Linked DNA regions of Lonchura striata. The protein of the gene in region 2 purifies or fractionates together with the protein of the main gene of each other region. This does not show direct contact. Links are inferred from orthologs where the notes say so. Each region holds a gene or a part of one and is shown on either strand. Other genes may lie near its edges.

Region 1 (10,465 bases), on a different chromosome or scaffold from region 2:
CTGGGAGCTCAGAAATGTCGAGCACGTGGGAGTCACTCCAGGAGATGTTTCCAAAAGCTCACCAGGACTGTAAAATAGTCGTGGTGACACTTAAAAACAATCCCCTACTACAAATCCAAGCACAGCTTCTCTAGGAAATCCAGGAAAAGCAGCTGGCACAACCTCTTGGACCCAGTGGAGGGGAGAGCAAGGAGAGCGTCAGAAAGGGAATGTTTGTTTTCCTGAAATCCCGTGTTCACTTTTGGGGTTTTTCAACTGTTACGACAAAGAAAAGGCCTCCAGAATTTGTTTAATCAGCATTTAGTGCTCTAATGCCACTTCAGAACTGGGAATCTGGGAAGCATCATCCTGCCAGACTACTCAGGGTTCCAAAAACTCTGCTCCAAGTCTAGGGAATGAGGCGGGGAAATAATGAAAATGACCCCTGTTTTTTATTACTTTAAGCAGGGCTGGGATGTCAGGCTCCAACAGGCACTCTGCTCCAAGCAGCCCTAACCAAATGCCTATTTCCCAGTTTGAACTCCATGACTGTGGCAATTCCATGATTAAACAGGTGCATTTGGCTTTCAAGCCAGCTCCCAAATCCTCCCCAGTCCAACTGACAAGGCAACAAAGGGAGAGTGAACTTCCAGCTCCAGCCAATTCTTTGGGGAAACAAAACCATCCAGCCACCAGCAAAGACTCCAAATTCTGCTCTAAAAGCAGCGAGATTATACCCTTGGAAGTTGTCATTTAGGCAACAAAGATTATTTATTTTCCTCCAGTTGGTTTGGGGAGAGATTTATGGATTTTGAATTCTCCTGAAGACAGGCACCACCTCCCAAGCCACGTTTACCTGATTTGGTTTATAAACCACCACCTGTGACAGCCTTTCTGGGAAAAAGGGGGGGCTCCCCCAGTTCTGGGAAGGGGCTGCTGCCACGTCTTTGTGCATTTTGAAGCATCACCACACGATTCCCCTCATCCCTGGAGACCTCATTAAAACAGAGCCCCAGAAGTGGAGCAGAAAGAAGCGTAGCGTGACATTTGAAAATTTACATTCAAAGTTTCCAGAAATATCCATCCTTTAAAACAAAACAAAACAAAAAAGGGGGGGAAAAAAAAAACCCCAAACAAAACAACAAAGCCCCACCAAACCCTACCAAAACAAGACATTCCAGTGCACACGCTCTTCCCTGGGGACAGGCCAAAGAGAACAACTCCACGTGACCCTGCGATTGCTCAACGCTGCTCTTGGAAGGTGTTCAAGTGGGATGATAAGTGCGGTGTAAGCTTATAATGACCAGAAAAAGGAATTTATCCCAAATGTAAACTCTGTCCTAGCCTTTGCCTCCACGGCGCAAACACGGGTGGGGGAGCGCTGAGATTACAAAACGCTCTGCAGGTAAACTAAGGAGCTTTGTACCTTTATTCTCCTTGACTCAGGACGAGCCTAAAATTAGCAGGGAGAGCGACGCTCGGTGAATTATGCTCCCGAACCCCCGGCTCTGCAAACTGGGCAGCACAGGGAGATTCAAACAAAGCTGGTCACTATTTATAATTCCTTTCAGGCACAAAACAGGGTGACACTTCCCTTTTCCAGCTCTGACGCTTAAAAATAGAGCTCGGGGACTCCAAGGCAGCCAGCAGCGTTTCTCCACAAAAGGAGGAAAATAAATCAGCACTAAATAAACTCCCGGCCAAGGGGAAGCTGCGAGCGCAGCGGAACAATAAACCCGGGGGTTGGAACGGGAAACGGCCCCGGGGTTTGGGGGGGATGGGGGTGCCGGGGTGGGTCCCCCCATGGGTGTGAACACCCTGGCAGGGGCACCCCATCAGCTGCAGCCTCGCTCCGCCCCGGGCCCGGTTTCCGGGTAGTAACAGAGCAGCCAATCCGCGGAGTTGCGAGAGCTCGAGGCCTTTTCCCTGCAAACACGGCTCCGAGGCTGGCACTCGCCCCAAAACTGGGGGGACCACAAAGGGGAGCCCCCTCTCTGCCATCCCCCAGGGTGGGAGCTACCTGGAGAGCCTGGCCTGGAGCCCGAGGGCTTCCCAGTGGGATAACCCTACGCTTCCAGGCCGCTGGCGAGCGGGTCTGGAGGTGTTTTGGGGAGCACAGAGCCTTCCTCCAAAAACCCTGCTCTGAAAGGTCACAGGTTACCCAGGAAACTTTGGCTGGAGCCCCCCCAAAAAGGGGAGGAGCGATTCTGGCTCTCTGTTCCCAGCCTCAGCAGCACAACCCCAGTCCGGAGGGAGACAATGAGTGACGGGGAGCTGGAGCACATCCTGGTCCAGGGGATTGTTAAACATCAGTGGCACACATTCCCGCAGAGCTCTGCCCTTCCTGCAGCCCCACCAAGAGCAGCCACCTCTCCCCTTCCCTCCTCACAAAGAGGCTTCCACAAAAGGACACGGACGTGGCAGGATTGAAAATAGGAATCGCAAAAAGACCTCGCTCAGCTCCTGAACCTGTCAGAGCAGGAGAAGGCAGGAGTGGCATTCACCCTGCTCGGTGCCCCCTCCCTGCTGGGAAAGGTAGCCCTTGGCAGGCCATAAATCCATACTATTATTCTCCGTTGGAGACGTGGAAAGGGGATGAAACGGGAAACTGTAATGAAAATGGCAGCAAAAGGTGGGTGGGGGGGGGTAAAAAAACCCCAAACAAAAACCCTCCGCAGCAACAAAACCCTGCAAGCCCCAGGGGGAGATGGCCTCAAGCACATTCCTTCAGACGAGACCCTCCTCGCTGCCGTGTCTCAAAGGAGACCCTGATTTCAGATCAGCTTCCAGAGGGGGAGATTCCCCAGGGAAGCGGCTGGGGAGCCGGGGCCTAGCGAGCTGCTCACCCCGGGCGAGTCAGGCAGACAAACAAAAAAAGGCTGGGGAGGGAGGGAGGGAGAGAGGGAGGGAGGGAGGAGTGGTGAGGAGTCATCTGACACATCCAACTTCCTAAGTTTGTTGTCCGCAGGAGACCGACTGCTCTAACCCTCACCCCTTGGAAAACAAGGAAAGCAGAGCCGACAACAAGAGCTTTGCTTTTGGAAAAGCCATTAGGGGTTCCTTTTGTCAAGGGGCAGAAAGAGCAGAGCAGAAACTGCCCAGCACCGAGAGGAATCCCAGATATTCGGGGCTTTCTACCTACCCAGCTCCTAGAAACACACAGCAAAGCCACTTCGCAGGGAAAAACCTGCTCTTTGTCCTCCAAAATGCTTCGATCGCTGGAGAAGCCGGCAAGGAACGGAACAAAAAGGGAGGGGGGGGAAAAAAGGAAAAAGAGAGGGGGAGGGGAAAGGGAAACAGAGCAGCAGCCGATCAGGTTGGGCCTCGGCCCCGCTCTGGCCCAGAGCTCTTTCCAGGGTATCCCCAAGAAAGGTTTTCCCCCCTCACTAAACAGCTGGAATTCCCGACCCTCCTCCCGGTGCGATTAAGCATCGATCGCAATTGGCGGAGTCTGACATGTGTGTAACTTTAAACCCCCGGATAAAAATAGCTCCGATTCGAGCACCATCAGGACTCATTTCCTATTTGCTTAAAAACAGGGCGAAAAATACACCGAGAGCGGCTTTGTGGGGAGAAAGGCGCTGCGCGAACGTCAGGCAAGTTTCCTTCGATAAGCCACAAACAGGAGCGCTGCTGCTGCTCCTCCCTCTCCCCCCCCTCCAAAAAAACACCACCAAATCCAGATAAGTTTGTTTATCTCTCTCTGGGAACTAAATCAGACCCGTTTCTCGACCCCTCGAAGCAGCACGGCAGAGCCACCAGCCCCGAGTCCTGCTGAGGGAGGTCGGGCACGTTCAGGAGACAGATCCGAGCAACATTTCATCCACTCTTGTCATTGCCACCCTTTCCACGCTCACACCGCCACCTTGTAAACAAAAACTATTAATAAAACAATCCTAGAACCGAATTCCCAATGGTATTTTTCAACGCCACCCACTCTCCAGACAGAGAGAAAAAAGGGATTCACCGCCCCGTAAAGGGCCAGGAATAAAAACAAGGAGGAAAAATATAAACAGATCTATGCAGGAAGAAGGGGAAAAATAAAAAGTAATAAAGGCTAACCAAACCTGGAGGGTTACATAAACCTCTTGGGAGACGGGCTCGGGCCCTGATGCCCTTCACCCACCCCTGGGTCTGCTGAGCCAGACCCCGAGGGACCCCCCGCCCCATCCTCCCCAAAAAATTAAATCCCTAAGCCGGCACCAGAAGCTTCATGAACAGCGGGGTGAAATGGTGGAATAAATACTAATAATAAACCCCACAAAAGCCTTTCTTTGGGCTGTGGCTGCTGGAACTGCTCTCCCCTTCTTCACCCTCCCCAGGGCAGGCAAGGGGGAGTGCGGGGCACCCAGATTGGGGGGGCATCACCGAGGGGAGCCAGCAGAGACACCCCCAGGGCCGCCTGTCAAGGCACAGAGGGGGAAATACCCCCCAAAACACGGCAGAAGGGGGGGTTAGGCCTCCCCTGGTGAGGGGGAAAGGGCAGATCCCACCCCCAGCTCCGGGGAGAGGCCGCGGGGTGCGACCGGGGGGGTTTGGGGGGCGACTCCCGCGGTGCCCCCCGCCCTCCCACCGCCCTGCAGTGCAGGCCCGCGGGTGTGGGGAAGGGGGGGTGAAAAATCCTCCTCCCCCGTGGGCCCGGAGTGGGGGAGGCACGGCAAGGATACAGCTTGACCACGTCGGTGTCCATCCGCCTCTTGCCCGGGCTGGGGGACGACATGGTGGCCGCGGCCGCCCCCGGGGCTCCGGGCGGGCTGTCAGCGCCGCCGCCGCCGCGGGCCGGGGCCGCCCGGCGCCGAGGGGAGCGGGGAAGCGCCGGGCAGCGAGGCGCCGGGAGCCGCCGCTGTCGCTGTCGCCGCTGTCGCTGTCGCCGCTGTCGCCGACAGGGCCGCCCCCCCGCGCCGCTCGCGCTCCCTCAGCCGCTCCGGCCGCCTCTGCCCCAGCCTCTCTCTGGACCCCTGACGTCACCCGCGGTGACGTCACCGCCCCGCGGCGCTGCCATTGGCCGCGCCCTCAACGCTCCGCCGGCCCCCGAGGCACGCCGGGAGTTGTAGTTCTAAAGAGGGGGGGAAATGGTGGCGGGGCGGCGGGTTCGAGGCTCCGCTGGGGCCGCAAGCTGCGGTTCTTCCCTTTCCGATGTTTCCCGCAGTTCCTCCCGTATTCCCTGTGTCTCCCCGTTCCCCATGGATTCTGACACTCCTCTCATTCCCCCATTTTCATTTTGCCCATTCCCACCACAGCCAGGGAACCACCTCATAAACTATGGGGCGCACCCATGTCAGGGCCTTGCAATTCCCCATTTCTATTGTTTTTCCACAATTCCCCACGGTTCCCCTTATTCCCAGTATCTCCCTTGTTCCCTACGGATTCTGACACCCCCTCGCTCCCCTGTTTTCCATCCCCACCAGGGTCAGGGAGCCGCCCCACAGAACGTGGAGTTTGCCCACGGCATTCCGGTTCAATCCAAGCGGGAATGTGGCGGCTGGCCAGGCCCCACAGCAGGAGTCACCATCCCGGATTTCCGCTGTGACACCGGCAAGGCATTTCCCGGTGCCTCAGTTTACCCACCCGGATGATGACACCCCTAACGGGCGTCTCCCAAACCAATGGTGGAACCTCCACACCCCACATTCCTGACCCCGGCATCATCCCATAAATCTGCCCCGGTGTTTCCTCCCCCTGTGGGGAGGAGACACAGCCAAAGAATCCCAAATCCCAAAAAAGCCCCAGCATGCCCGGAGCTTGGCAGGGGCAGGAGGTGACACCTCCTGAGGGGACTCAAATCCACACCCCACAATTCAGGGAGGGATTTGGCAGGGGAACAGGGTTCTCTTTGAGCAGAGCAGCTGCAAAATTTGGGATAGAGGATCCTGTATTTCCCAGGCCACAATATTCCCTGACTGGTTCCAAGCAACTGGGAGAACTGGACACGGAGAATAAGGATTTTACCATCATTTCTTGGAATGCTTCTATTCCATCTGTGAAACACCAGGGATTATTCCAGGATATCAGGGACTACAACCTGTTCCTTTTTTTGGAATACCTCAATGCCACAGCACCCAAACCTTGGAATGTGGGTGCAGAGGGAATTTTGGGGATCCTCTGAGCACTCCTCAGTGTGGAAATTGGGATGGAGGGGTTGTGGCTGGGTTTTCCCACCCTGGGATGGGAATATCATCCTCCCTGGATTGGGTGCATCCCATGATTTGTGGGGTGCTTCCCTGATCAGAGATGGGGGGGAGGCAGGAGAATCCATGGATAGGGAATGTAGGGAATAGAGGGGAGCCATAGGAACCTGCTGGAAATCATTGGAAAGGGGAGAACCAGAGTTCCAGGGAGATGTAAGGAATGGGGAAAGCATGGGGGGCTCATGGGGGATCTGTGGGTGCAGGCAGCTGGAAAAGGGGCTCTTCCCATCCCATCCTCATCACTCTGGATTCGGGGTATCCCCATTCCCACCCCAACTCCCAGCCCAGCAGGGCCATGGGGTGCAGCAGCCCCTTGTTAGGGCTCTGGAATTAGGGAAAGGAAGGGAACCCACCCAAATTCAGGAGGCAGGATCCCAGGAGAAGCCCCCAGGTGGGCAGGTGCATCCCCAAATTTTGGGCTTCAGGGAGAGCTAGGATCTGCCCTGAGCAAGGCAGCCACTGCATTTCCAGACACAGAATCCCAAAATCCATCCAAGAGCACGAGACAGCTGAAACCTCAGAGATGGGGCTGGGGAAATGGAGGCAGGATCCTTTCCAAAATAAAAAAAAAAAAAAGAGGAATGACATATCCCTGTGCCTCCACCCACATCCACAGACCTGGAGGGAGGAGACACAACTGTGCCAGGCTGTCTGTGGAATCCCAGCCCTTCCCAAAGCCCTTTCCCCAAAATCATCCTCAAGGATGGGGATGACACCATTTCCTTCCCAGCATGGAAACTCACCTCTTGCCAGGTTTTTGGGAATCCCACCTTCCAACCAGAGGGGTTCATCACCCCAAACTGGCCCTCAACAGAGGGACAGGGATTGAGGCAATGGAAAAACGCCCACAACAGGCAAAGGAGACAACAAAATGAGGAATGGGAAACAGGGAAGGCACCGGGATGTTGATCCCATAAGGACAAAAATCCTGAGGGATACAGGGGCCACACCAGGCCCAGAGCTCCTCCTACCCCGGGGAGAAGCACCACGCCAGCAGGAAGGAAAAAGAAAAAAAACAACAAAAATGAAATGTTTATTCCCACCTGGCATCACCAGGGAGGTGACAGCGTCCCCTTGTCACCCCGGGCACGTGCCAGCTGCGGGCAGGGCTGTGCAGCCCTCGGAGGGGGGGACACAGCAGCAGTTTGTGAAGGCAGCCGGGGCAGGGGGATCCCAGCGTGGGCACGGAGCTTCCTCGGGGCCCTTCCCGGGGCACGGAGCTGCCGCAGGAACCACGCAGAGCTTGGATCTCCTCCCCGTGCTGCTGCCCAGAGGCTGCTCAGGAGGAGTTCATGCTCTCCCACTGGCGGAAAATGCGGAACACCTTGCAGGATTTCTCCGAGAGACTCTGGAAAAGATGGGGACAAAGCAACAGCCGCAGGTCAAGGCGCTGCAGCAGAAACTGCGGCAAAAAAACAAATCTAAAATATCCCAGCTGGCTGCCAGGACAGAGGTTTGCTCCTTGTTTTCATGGTCCCAGTTTGCCAGCTGGAGGGGAGAACAAGGAGACGACAAGCAAGAAGGAGGAAGGGACCCCAAAAAGCAGGAAAAAAGACCAAAAGGCAGGAAGGGATCCCAAAAGGCAGGGAAAGGAGCCCAAAAAGCAGGAAGGAATCCCAAAAAGCAAGAAGGGGCTCCAAAAAGCAGGAAGGGACCCCAAAAAGCAGGAAAGGACCCAAAAAGCAGGAAAGGAGCCCAAAAAGCAGGAAGGAATCCCAAAAAGCAGGAAGGAATCCCAAAAAGCAGGAAGGGGCTCCAAAAAGCAGGAAGGGACTCCAAAAAGCAGGAAGGGACCTCAAAAAGTAGGAAGGGATTCCAAAAAGCAGGAATGGACCCCAAAAACAGGAAAGTACCCTAAAAGCAGGAAGGGACCCCAAAAAGCAGGTAAGAATTCCAAACAGCAGGAAGGGGCTCCAAACAGCAGGAAGGGGGTCCAAACAGTAGGAATGGACACCAAAAGGCAGGAAGGGATCCCAAAAAGCAAAAAGGGCTCCAAACAGCAAGAAGGGATCCCAAAAAGCAGGAAGGGATCCCAAAAAGCAGGAAAGGACCCGAAACAGCAGGAAGGGACTCCAAAAAGCAGGAAAGGAGCCCAAAAAGCAGGAAGGGATCCCAAAAAGCAGGAAGGGATCCCAAAAAGCAGGAAGGGATTCCAAAAAGCAGGAAAGGACTCCAAAAAGCAGGAAAGGAGCCCAAAAAGCAGGAAGGGATCCTAAAAAGCAGGAAAGGACTCCAAAAAGCAGGAAAGGAGCCCAAAAAGCAAGAAGGGACCCCCAAAAAGCAGGTAAGAATCCCAAAAAGCAGGAAGGGGGTCCAAACAGTAGGAATGGACCCCAAAAGGCAGGAAGGAATCCCAAAAAGCAAAAAGGGCTCCAAACAGCAGGAAGGGATCCCATAAAGCAGGAAGGGATCCCAAAAAGCAGGAATGGACCCCAAAAAGCAGGAAAGGACCCGAAACAGCAGGAAGGGATCCCAAAAAGCAGGAAAGGACTCCAAAAAGCAGAGAAAGGAGCCCAAAAAGCAGGAAGGGACTCAAAAAACCAGGAAGAGCCTCCAACCATCCCCTGCTCCAGTTGGGTCTGGTGCCTCTGACTTGTGACTGGTCCCACCGGACCATCTGGAGCTTTCCTGGCACATGGCAGAATCACGGAATCGTGGAATGGTTTGGGTTGGAAGGGACCTTAAAGACCACCCAGTTCCAACCCCCTGCTGTGGGCAGGGACACCTCCCACTAGAAAGAACCTTTTGGGGACACAAAACCACTCGGAACCCCCAGGACAAATCCTGAAGGGGGAATGCTCCACCGCTCCCCTGAGCTGCAAACGAAGAAGGAAGGAGCTGGCAGGAGGAATCCAAGTGGATAATGAGATCCAGGGAGGCAGCAGCTCCTCCAGAGCCACATGGGGAGGGAGCTGTGGCCTCGGCAAGCCTGGCAAGCCAAGAGCCTGGAGCCAGGAACTGGGATGGCTGCAGAGAGGAGCTCTGGGCACACGGAATGAAACTGGATCTTGAGCAGCACTGTTATTTATAGCAGCCCTCCAGCAGCTCCAGCACAGCCCAGCCTTGGATGGAGCCTGGCTGTGGGAATGCCAGCTTGGTCCTTGTCACCTGGCTGGGACCGATCCCAAACAAAGCCCACCCATCCCAAATTTTTGCTGCCTAGACAAGTTGGGATGCCCCAGGCTCACCACTGGCTCCGTTTCGGGCGCTGTGTCACATTTTTGGATGCCAAGGAGCCTCTTCAGCACCACTTCCCAGCCTGGCTCAGCCTTCCCAGGCTCCTTCTCTGTCTGGGATGCAGCATCCTCCAGGGACTCCTGTCCCTCCCCAGTGCTGACCCAGGGACACCAATCACGGTGCTGAGAGCTGGGGTGAAAGAAGCTCCTCAAGGAAGTGTCCTGGGAAGCGAGGAGGTGACAGAGGAGGGACACAACGATGGGATGGTTTAGAGACTCCCACTGGGAGTGGCTAGAGGGACAACACCAAATCCCTGGATCCCACCCTGCCCGGGGGGCTCACCGAGCTGCTGGAGGAGCAGAGCCGCGCCCGCTTGGCCCTGCGGACAGGACTGGATGGCACTTCCATGGTGTCCCCCTGTCCCATGCTCCGGGTCACGGGGCGGCTCCTCAGAGCGGGGCTGATGGCATCCAACTCGCCCCTGTCCATGGAGCTGGGAGAATCCCAACCCCGCGGCCGGGACACAGCTGGGGACAGGCTCTTCTCGTGCTGCTGCGGGGAAAAAAAACGGGATTCACGGAGCTCCTCTGCTCCAACCCTCCTCAGCCACCCCACAGGAGCCCTTCCCACCCCACGGATGCGTTCATCGGGTGCGGGTGAGGGACTTGGAGCGCCTGGAGCTGGCCAAGTGTCCCTGGCCCAGTGTGGCAGGAGGTACCTGCTCGGCTCCCGGGTCCTGGCTCCGGGTCAGCATCCGGCGTGGGGACGTGGGGACGGGCGGGACGCTGCTGCCGGAGCCGCAGGAATCCGGCTCCGGAGCCGCGGCACAGTCCAGCTGGTGGAAGCCCCACAGCCCCACCTTCCTCATGCAGCGGGAGCAGGTGATCACCGAGAGGTTGACGGAGCCCGAGGCAGCGCTGCAGGGACAGAGGCACGTCATGGGATCCACATGGAATCCTCACAGGATCTTCATGGGATCCTCACAGGATCCTCATATCTTCATGGGATCGTCATGGGATCCTCATTGTATCCACATGGAATCCCCATGGGATCCTCACAGGATCCTCACGGGATCCTCACAGGATTCTCACAGGATCCACATGGGATCTTCTTGGGATACT
Region 2 (10,496 bases):
GCAGTTGAAGAAGGTCATGGAGTTCATTGGAGTGTGTTGAATTCTTTAGCCACAGAAAGTACACTCCTTCTGATGTACTCCACAAAGTGCTGGGGGGGAAGTAATTTTATCCATGTATTCTTGTTTCTCCACACTTGCTTATTAGGCAGCAAGTGCCATTGAGAAGTCGGGCACTGTTAAATTTTTGGATCAGCTTGTAATCATCCAAGAAACAGATGGTGATTACAGATTCCAGGGGCTGGGGCGGGGGGGGGGGGCTGTTTGGTTTTGGTTGGGTTTTTTTAAACTTATACAGTATGCTGAACTCATTAGGCATTCATGCTCATCTCCTAAATACATTTAATGGTTGACACAGTAGGCAAGCTCTCCAGCAGTCTGTTCTTTACCTCAAAATTAGTTACAAAAAACCCCACTTGTATTAGTTTCTGCCATCTTTTAGGATGATGTTTTGAAGGACCTAAGCCTACAAATTCCCAGCTTTCCTAACAAGCTCCTAACGGAAGCACGCAACCAATTCTAGTGAGAGCACATTCACCATCAATGTGCCTGGGATGATTATAGGATGCAGAATACACAGAATCTGTGGCTTTCATTTCTAGGCACAGAAAACAAGTTATATGCCACCCTCCTTTCCTCTCCTACTTCCTACAGTTATTGGAAATCCAGCAGCAGTGACAGTATAAGAATGTTATTTACATCACTTGTAAATTAAATACAATTATGGTGCTAGCTAAAAATATACCTTTAAGTCATACTAACCACTGAGTTTAAATATTTATTTCAGTAGCACAGCCAGATTATCTTTGACACTGGGGTAAAAGACAAAGATAAAAATCAACTGTTAATGATGCAGATGCCTGCAAGATCCAAGCACTGACAATTAGTCTTTGCTGCTACAAGTCATCAGTATTATAATCAGATCTACAAAATGGGACACAGTTGCTTTCCCTTTCACTCAGCAGCAAGCTTCATTCTACAGCAATGTGTCAGAACACTGATAAATGAATTTACAGCTGTGAATGTGAACACATTTTTTATTGCTTCGTAAGACATTGGATAATGTTTCATGTTTTCCTCTCACATGCCCTTTGAAGTTTACTGAATTTGACTGTACTACCAAACAGGACTTTGCATTAGGTATCCCCTCTACTTCTATCTAAACAGTAACAGCAAGTTGCTTACCATTGTAATGTGTGGGTAATTGATAAGAACCTTGGGTAACAGGCATGCCTCTGCAAATTTCCCCCCCCCATTAAGAACTCACACCTCTGCTGTCAGCCCTCAGCTTTGTGACACCAATGTTTAGGTTTTCCCTTTAGAGTCATGTTTCCTTCTAGGACAGGAGAGTTAAAACAACAGTTTGTTGAGGTTTTTTTCTTAATTTTTTCACATTCAATTTCAAACTCTGAAAATCCTCCCATATTCAACAATCAAGTATAGTCCTAAGACTAAAAAAATGAATACACCTGCAGAAAAATAATCTTTTTCCTTTATCTTCACCAAGTGTTTCCTTCCAAAACATGCAGCAATGTCAGAAACATAGGAACTGCATCTCAGCTTCACTGTTTCAATATATATATATATATTATTCCCCAAGAAACAGTTAGTAAGACTCATATTTCTATTCTCTCATTAACTGACAGGCACTACAGACAGTCTTAAATATAATTTTCCAGATAATTACTGTGTTCTAAGTTTAATGACTCCCATCATGAACTATAATCTATGCTCTGTTCTTAGTCTAGCTTTTGCTTATGGATTTCTGTTTATTCTGCTAAGAAACCTAAGGATTCCTAACTCCTGTTCTTAATTAATACACATAGTTTGTATTTCTCCCATGAGAAACTCTTATTTGTGATAACAGAGTTAAACCATGCTTGCACACTTATTTTCATTTGGTGGACATTGCCACATGAAGCATTACAAAATGACAGGAAAAGCATCTAACAGAGAAGCCTGCAACACTTCAATGATGCATTCTTGGCCAGGAAGAGATGTTTAATTTGGACACATCAAATTAAATTTTTTTTTCCATGCTCTCTCATTCAGTGGGATTTCACTTCCACAGGGCCTCCAAGCATTACTCATGACTACATTTTGCAGTGGGCTAAGGAAATGGAATGCCATCTGCAGAACACAACAGATATTCACACCTACAACCATCACCTTCATGTGAATGCAAAGCCTCTTTTCTCTGAGCCTGTTGTGTTGCTGGTGTTGTTTTTTTTTTTTGAACCTCTCCAAAGAGAGGACTTCAGTTCACAATTTCGCATCTTCTGTGCATGAACCAACATACTTTATTACATTTTCTATTGAGAACAGCTAAGCACACTACAGCACATGACTGCAGGATGGTGAGAATCACATATGGTGTTGCATTTGTCACTATATACTTGGTTATTACTGTAGTGAAGAGGTCTTTCCTCTAAAAGTAGTGGTATTTCCACTGTGAACTCACATAGCAACGAGCTGTTGCAACAGGAAGATCTCTGCTTTCATCAGTGATCTTCTCCCCCTCTCCTCAGGAAGACAGTGAACAGCTAGCACACGCTGCCATTCAGTACAACTCTCTCACCCTGTAATTACTCGCTTGCTTTCTTTCATTAAAGAGGCCTGTTTGAGAATTTTCTATAACACTGGCTACTACAAAAGGAGCAAAAGAAATGTGGGTATTTAAGCCCAAATCAGGCAAATCAGAATATCATGCACTTCCACAATTAAAGATATTTCTGCTTTGTAGATAAATAACTACTGTCTTATCAGTTCATGACATAGATGTCACTGCTCACAACTGACCTACTGAAAACTTGAAATCCTTTGTCACCATTACCTACCGACCCACAGTGCTACCTTAAACAGACTGTTCAACTTCACTGAAGCTTCTCCTCTGTCTGGTACATACAGCCAAAGCATTTCCCCATGATCCTTACTTCAGGCACTGTGCTGTTTAACACAGTCTAACAGAGCCCAGGCTTGATGCACAGACTTTGGGCAAAAACTACTGAAACATCCACAGAGGTAAAAAATTCATGGGCTATGGATGTGTAGGAAACAAAAGGAATAGTGAGCAAATACTACAGGCTGCTCTGTCGGTTTCATGAGACCGTTTCAAAATTTGTAGTCTGATCTCAAATTGCACACTGACATTCTTACAGGCTCGTTACTCAGCAGCAGACGTAACCCATGCAAACCCGACACAGGCGTACAGGCTGCGCTCCGCCAGCAGAAGGGAACACGCTCTTTGCTCAACTGCCCTGATACCCGATTTCTGACGATCTTTGGGCTCTACACTTTTAACCTGCCATGGCGGCTATTTAAAGATGCAAAGCTGCGACCTGAACCCCGTAATGCCCAAACCATGTGACACCTTTACCAGACTCCTAATTTTAACGCAGACCAGCGCCCGGCCGGGAGCTCTCCCGGAGCCCGGGCCGCCCGTCCCCGCAGGGTGATGGAGCACTTCGCAAATGGTGCAGTTCTGCCGCCTTACCACACCAAGCCCTTCCTCCTCCCCTCCCCCGCGCACACTGGCAGCGGACACTTGCCGAAGCGAACAGCACGGACGCGGGACGAACTTGGCCAGTTCCCACTGATAACCGGGATTTTTCCCAACTGCAGCACATCCATGCGACGCCCGCGCGGTGCCGGCGGCAGGAGCGGAGCTACTCGGGCTCCGCTCGCAGCACCGTCCCCTCCCGGGCACCTCCCGCCCGCTGCCGCCGAGCGGAACCGCGGGGCCAAAGGGCGGACACGGGCTACCGCAGGCGCCCCGCACGGCCCCCGCGCATCGTCCGCGCCCGGGCAGGGCGCTGCAGCCGCTCCGCGCCGCACACCCCACGCTCCCGGGGTAAGGCGCTCCCGGCCCCGCCGGGCGAGGGGCGGCAGCCGGCGGGGGCTCCCGGCGGCACGTGCCTGCCCCAGTCCCGCCCGCGCCCCCGCAGCCCCCGGGTGCGATGCCCCAGCGCGGCGGGCGGGCTCGTGTGGGTCGAACGGCGGCGCTTACCGAGTGGTTGACCCCCCACATGAGGACGCTGAGCAGCGGATCGCTAGCCCGGAACAACTTCACTTTTTGCGCCACGAAGTGCTTTTTCTTGGTCTTGGTTTTACTCGCCATGACGGGCACGATGCTGCTGGGGGCCGCCATGGCGCTGCCGGCGGCGGAGGTGGAAGGGGCTGGCGTGGGGTAGAGCGGCGGGCGGGCAGGAGCGATCAGCGCCGCAGCCCCGCGGGCGAGCGGGCGGCGGGCGGGCAGCCGCGGGACGCCGGGCGCATCCCGGCCTGGCGGCTGAAATGGCCCCGCTCGGCGCGGCGGCCCCGCCCCGCCCCCCCCGCGGGGAGCGGCCGCCGCCCGCCCGCCACGCACCGCGCGCCCGCCCCGCCCCCGCGGGAACCGCGGAGCGCCGGCTCTGCCGCCCCGCTGCGCATGCTCCCCGCGCGCGGCGCCTGCGCGGCCGCGGGCAGCGAGGCGGGGGGGCCGCCGCGCCGCCCTCCCCTCAGGGAGCGGGGCCTGCGGAGCTGGGCGCGGGCCCCGCCCCGCCCCGCGGGAAAGGGGCTGTCGGCCGCTGGCCTCTGGCCCTCACGCCGTCGCCAGTCCTCTGAGGAACCGAGCCTCCCATCGCCCTGCTCTTTAGCGAGCTGGTGGCTCACGCCGTAACTTCGTACAGCTTGTGTGATTCCAGTTCCCTCTGCCAGCGATCTGTAGGAATGAGAGGGATCTCTGCGGCAGGGCTGTGCCTGCTGCTCCCGCCCCAGCTCGGCTCCCTGAGCAGAGCGGTTCCTGCAGCCGACGTGCCGCAAATACAGAAAGCTCGGTCCCCTGCAAGACTATTGCACCGCTGTGACCTCGCTGTGCTGTTACACCCCCAGCAGAATGTTTCTTGATCGTCTCCATGGCCACAGAGGATGTGGTCAGTGACAGGTGACATCCTGTAAAGGCACATCTGCCCAGCTCAGAAATATCGAACACCGCGTAAGTTTTGCTCCACTGTATGATGAGGAACTCAATGACATCTGTTGTCACTGCTCGGGGCCAGTACCCACGGGTAACACAGAGCATACATCTCCTGAGCCTTTACAGTAAGTCATACATCAGCTTCTGAATAACACAAACTGACCTGCCTGCTGTAGATCTTGCTTTGTTCATCATCTGATGCTTCAGCAAGGTGACCAGATCCTTAGGGAGAAGCAAGAGCAGGGCAGCTCCATGAGGTGGACAAACCACAAGTGAGGGTCATCCCACTGCAACCAGTGCTCTCAGTGACAAGGCATGGATGCACAGGGCCCACACTTGGTGGGCAGGGTGCTGGCAAGAGCATACATCACATCAGCAGTCCCAGAGAAGCTGAGGTGATGAACCATGTCCATCCAGGAAGGCACAACGTAGGCACAGGTTCTATCCAGGGCCAGAAACAGAGGTGCAGGCAAGCTGCCTACGAGAGAGGCCCAAGGTATAACCAAAACACAGAGCTGGAGACAGGTATACCTACAACATAGCTCAGGCAGAGACCTAAACTGTGCCCTCCCTGAGCTTAAGTGGAGGTCCTGGGCAGAATGTGTTCCCAGTGTGGCTGTTCAGGGCAACTAAGATCAATACCTGAGTCTGGGACCCCAACACAAGCTTACATAAATTTAAAAATGTGTTGCACGTCCCCATTTCTCTTTTGCCATTGTGATCTCAACAGCAAAGTTATCTATCATGCTGGAATCTAAAGCAGTAATGTTTAATCTCCCTCCTGCATTGAAGCAGTTACTGGGATTTATTATATGGTCCCTTGTCTTCATATTATGGAGAGTATGATAAAACAGAGATGTATTTAATTTTCTGCTCATTTTTTGTTTTGTTTTTTTTTTTTTTTTCCCCCAGCAGAGTTACTTAGGAGTTACAGAGATACTCAACTGTAATTTTTGTTCTTGAAAATGGATTCAACAACAAAAAAATCCCTTATGTTCTGCTGCAGTCAATGGAAGCAACTGAGTCGTCAGCACCTTTGAATAAAAGCAGGTCACTTAGATGCCTAAATATAGATTTGAAGTCAGACTTTTGGAAGAGTTCAGTACCCATTTTATCCCTTACATTACACTTAGAACACGACATCTGAGCACTGTGCAATGCTACGCACATCAACATGACTAACATCTGCCACACATGTGTCTTTCTTCATCTTTCCAGAGCAAATCCCTATAGTTAAGCATTTTGGTTTATAAATAATTAAAATTTTAGTAGATTTTTTATAGGGAAGGTTGAAGAAGGAAGTTGCTCTTTTTTCCAGAAGACTTTCTTGTCATATTGGCATAGATTCTAAGGAGCTCTTCTCTGCAAATATGAGTTCTCACTAAAGAAGGTGGTTTTATCAGAAGAACAGAGGATGTTGACAATAACAATTACAGCAAAATTTTAAAAATTCAAGGGCCTGGGCTATTTACATTACAAAGTCTGAGGCAAAGATTTATCCTCTTCAGTTTTAAGTGCCACAAACAAAGATGGTTGCCTGTACTTGCCTTTCCTGTAGGAACCACTGTGGGCACAGGTTTTCCACTGAATCCATGAGACAGATGCAGCTGAACTCAGAAGTCACTTGAAGAGACAAAACTTGATTACATTTGCAGTCTACTCTTCTCTTGGGATGTCTTTCCCTCAGTTGTAATCCTGTCCCTTAAAACAGAACAGAGGCTGAGGCCCTCCTGCCAATGCCCACAGTAAAAAATTTCACAGTCCATTTCTTGCAGCCTAGACCTCCCTTTCAAACCTCTTTTAACTCACCATCTGCTGGAGCTCCAGGGCTCTCTCTCCCCCAGTTCTAGCAATGACCTGAGGGAAAATGTCATTTTATGCTGAGTCACAATGCAGGGTCCCCAGCCATTGCCCGCACCAAAAGATTGTCACAGCCACGTTCTTCTCATGTTCTACTCTTTCCTTTGACATGTTCCCTTTTTAAGCTCCCTCCATCTGCAGCTCTAGGCTCTCTCTGTCCAAATGCCCACCTTAACACTAACACAGATCTTTAGACCAGGTCCCCCAACCAGTGCCCTCAATAAAATATTCTCTCTGCCACATTTGCTCTACCCCACACTGTAGAGAGCGCTGAGCTCCAGGACGGTTTAGGTGAATGAGGATGAGACATCTCTGAAGGCTGCTCTTGGGTTACAAGGTTTATTGGGGATGCAGAAAGGTCCTGCCTCGAGCTGCCAGACCAGCACGTGGCGAGGCTTGAGAGGATGGGGGAGGGGAGAGACAAAAGGATGCTGTAGGAGAGGGGAAGTTCCAAGAGGAGGGGAAGTTCCAAGAGAGGGTCTGGCCCCTCGGAGACCCCTTATTAGGGGGCTTCAAGGTGGGCTGGAACAAGGCTCGGGCCAATGGGGTTACAGGCACTTGATGTTTTAGGGGAGGATTACAGATGCGAGGTGAACCATACATTTTAGGGGCTGAGATGGAACAGTCCACTTGACCCCTGGACCCATCCGTAGGCAGGGGCATTGTCCGGCTAGCTGGGAGGACTGTTCTCATCCTGGCTGTATTATTTATGAATAATTATATTTATCCATCCTTTCCAACACCACACCTTTTTTGTTTTTAAGATCTGCTTTGTACCTCCATTCCAGCTGCAACTCCAGGTCCTCTGTGTCTCATAGCTCTAACGTTAAGCCTCAAACAAACCATATGCTGGGCTTTGGATATGGTGCTAGTGCCCACACCAGGAAGTTCTTGCTGCCAAGTTCTTCTGGCAGCCTACACTTCCCTGGGACAGTCACTTTCTAGCCCTGAGCCAGCTGCAGCTGTTGTCTCTTTCCTTCTGTCAAACATAACCTCAAACCTCACCCTACACCTAGAAGTTATGTTGAGCCTTGGACCAGGCCCCTCAGCCATTGCTTCCACCACCAAGTTTTGGCAGGCAAGTTATCCCTGTGGCCCAACCTTTTCACTATCAGCTGCTCTCAAGCTTCCCTTCATCTGCAGCTCTAGGGTCTCTTTGGCTCCTAGCACCAGCCCTAACCCTCACACAAGCTGTATGATGGACTTCAGACCAGGACTGCAGAGCACCAGTCATATCAAAAAGTTCTTGCAACAAAGTTCTTCTTGCATCCCAGGTGTTTTAAGGCTGCGGTACTACACTCTCTTGTCAAAAATAACCTTAAGAGTAGGCTGGGCCTCAGACCAGGCAGCCCTGCCAAGTTCCTTTAACTTAGACTTCCCCTTAAAAGCCCTTCTCTAACTCTCCTTCTGCTGGAATTCTAGGCTCTTTCTCCCATCCTTAACTCTAATCCTGATGTAAACATAATTAAATGCTGTCACCCCCTCTTTTAATTCCCAAGCCAAAACAGTCTCCCAGCCAAGTTCTCTTTGCAGCCCACCTCCTTTCTAACTCAACTCTCAGTGCAACTCTGGGCTCTCTTTCTTTTAACCCTAATTTTAACCCTAGCCTCTGCTGGATTTGCAAGGCAAGGTTTTGGTTGTGCAGGGAGCTATAGGGGTGGCCTCTGTGAGAAGATGCCAACCCACGCTGGAGCAGTCGGCTCCTGAAGGGCTTGCATCCTGTGGAAATGGCCCATGCTAGAGCAGTTTGTGAACTACAGCCTTTGGGAAGGACTCATGTTGGAGAAGTTCATGGAGAACTGTCTCCTGTAGGAGGGACCTCACACTGGAGCAAGGGAGGAAGAAGGAGAATGGAGCAGTAAAGACAGTGTGTAATGACCTGATCACAGGCACCCATTCCTCCACTGGGGGAAAAGATAGATAAAATTGGCAGTGAAGCTGAACCTGGGTAGGAGGCTCCCCCTGTCCAGTTCAGGAGGGGAGTAATAGCGTAACTTGATGGGCACTGATATCCAGCCAAGGTCAACCCAGTCATATCAATAAACCCAGCCTAAGGCTGAATCCTGGGCTACAATTTACCTTGGGCTAGGTCAAACAGAAAACTTATGGGAACAAAATTCTCCTTCTTCCAGTTATCCATTCTTTCACAGTCCCACTGCAGCAGAAGCTCAATGACTCCCCCTCCCAAGCCTAACCCTGACTTTAATCTCAGAGGCTGAGCTTCAGACATGACCCTCAGCCACTGCCCAGAACAAGAAGTTCTTGAAGCCAATTTCTCTTTGCAGCCCACCTTTCACTTTGAGAGCTCTTTTCTAGCCTCTTCCAACTGTCTAGCCTTCCCCATAGGTTTCTCTTTCTCAGCCTTAACCATGGCCACAGGGTGAGCCTTAGACCAGGATACCCCACCAATGCCAACACCAAAACACTTTCCCTTCCAAATTCTCTCTGCGCTGTTTTTCTCTGAAGCTCCTTTGTAAACCCATTCCAACTGAAGATGCAGACCCTAATTCTAAATGTACCCTAATCCTTATTGTAAACTAAGCCTTGGAGACAGTCTCTCTACAGAGAGAGTGTGCACACAATCCAGGTCTTTTCTTTGTTCCCTTATGCCTTAGGGACAGTTTTGTACAGGTGTGAGGTAAGTTTTATTCATACAGCCTGTCATGACATGGAAGTTGTATTTCAGTCCATTAATAGATTTTTTTACAGCATGACATTATAAGTATATGTTGCAGTCAGCATTCATGGTACCTATACAGAAATGGGAGATGAAAGACCTGCTGGAACAGTATTTAAACACTTCAGAGCTAAGAGTAAACCTGGTACTGTGTTGCCTGTAATGCCCATGGAGAGACATCTCCATTAGGAACCTGGTTTTGTGATGGACTTGGGAGTGCTATGTTAATAGATGGACTAGTTCTTAGAGGGATTTTTCAACCTAAATGACTCTATAATTCTATCTCTTGGATCACGTATCTCCACAACTGCATTCATTCTTCATTGCAGGCAAAAGTGCTTGTTTCACTTCACACATCACTGGTGAACAAACTAACATAAATGTTGTGATGATGGTCCAGACACTAAGAAAAAAATGAAGGGCCAAGATGTGACAGTAAAACCTCTTTTGAAGTTTCAGTGAGTCCATAGCTATATCTTAGAAATCTAGTCAGGATCTAGTTCTCATGTAAAGCACTTAGGAAAATGGAGGAGGAGATGAATTCTCTGGGTTACTGTGCATTTAAAATCCTGACTGGCAGTTCCTACTCAACTTTAAAGAAATCCACTCCTCAATATATACAAGTGTTTGAGACTTTGAATGTCCCGTTTCTTGATAACTGAATGCAAAGCTTCTGCATTTCACAAGGACTGAATAAAAGAGCACAACCAGAGCAAACTCACATTGCTTGGAAACCTTATTAAAGAGGTGTGATGCCACCAGTGGAATTAGTGGATCTTTCCACAAGCACAGAATGTACTCTGCCTCTCATGAAGTAGTTTACTATCTTTAATATAACAGAGTGCATGTAGAAACATCAATGGAGACCAAAAGGAAGAGCTTCTAGGCTTGTAAAACATAACAAAGTAGGCTTGGGGTAAACTATTTTTCATTGTCCAGTCTGCTCCATTTGTTCTGCCATTAGTACTAAAATTCCCGCTTTGTCCCATTTTGTGGTGCAAGATACTC

The links.
Region 1: the proteins of PIP4K2A (region 2) and UBE2H purify together in Homo sapiens (affinity purification with mass spectrometry; 3 studies listed by BioGRID and IntAct, with this or other methods). This does not show direct contact. The link is inferred for Lonchura striata from reciprocal best matches to the Homo sapiens genes PIP4K2A and UBE2H.

What each region holds. Positions count from the first base shown.
Region 1 is NC_134607.1:72,062,220-72,072,684, reverse strand, and holds the start of UBE2H (ubiquitin-conjugating enzyme E2 H), read right to left. Parts: upstream 4,761-10,465; 5' UTR 4,700-4,760; coding exon 4,647-4,699; intron 1-4,646. Other genes in the region: ZC3HC1 (zinc finger C3HC-type protein 1), read right to left, coding at 7,447-7,515, 9,356-9,565, 9,687-9,896, 10,063-10,261. UniProt on the Homo sapiens protein: Accepts ubiquitin from the E1 complex and catalyzes its covalent attachment to other proteins. E2 ubiquitin conjugating enzyme that transfers ubiquitin to MAEA, a core component of the CTLH E3 ubiquitin-protein ligase complex.
Region 2 is NC_134603.1:138,984,079-138,994,574, forward strand, and holds the start of PIP4K2A (phosphatidylinositol 5-phosphate 4-kinase type-2 alpha), read right to left. Parts: upstream 4,262-10,496; 5' UTR 4,145-4,261; coding exon 4,004-4,144; intron 1-4,003. UniProt on the Homo sapiens protein: Catalyzes the phosphorylation of phosphatidylinositol 5-phosphate (PtdIns5P) on the fourth hydroxyl of the myo-inositol ring, to form phosphatidylinositol 4,5-bisphosphate (PtdIns(4,5)P2). Has both ATP- and GTP-dependent kinase activities.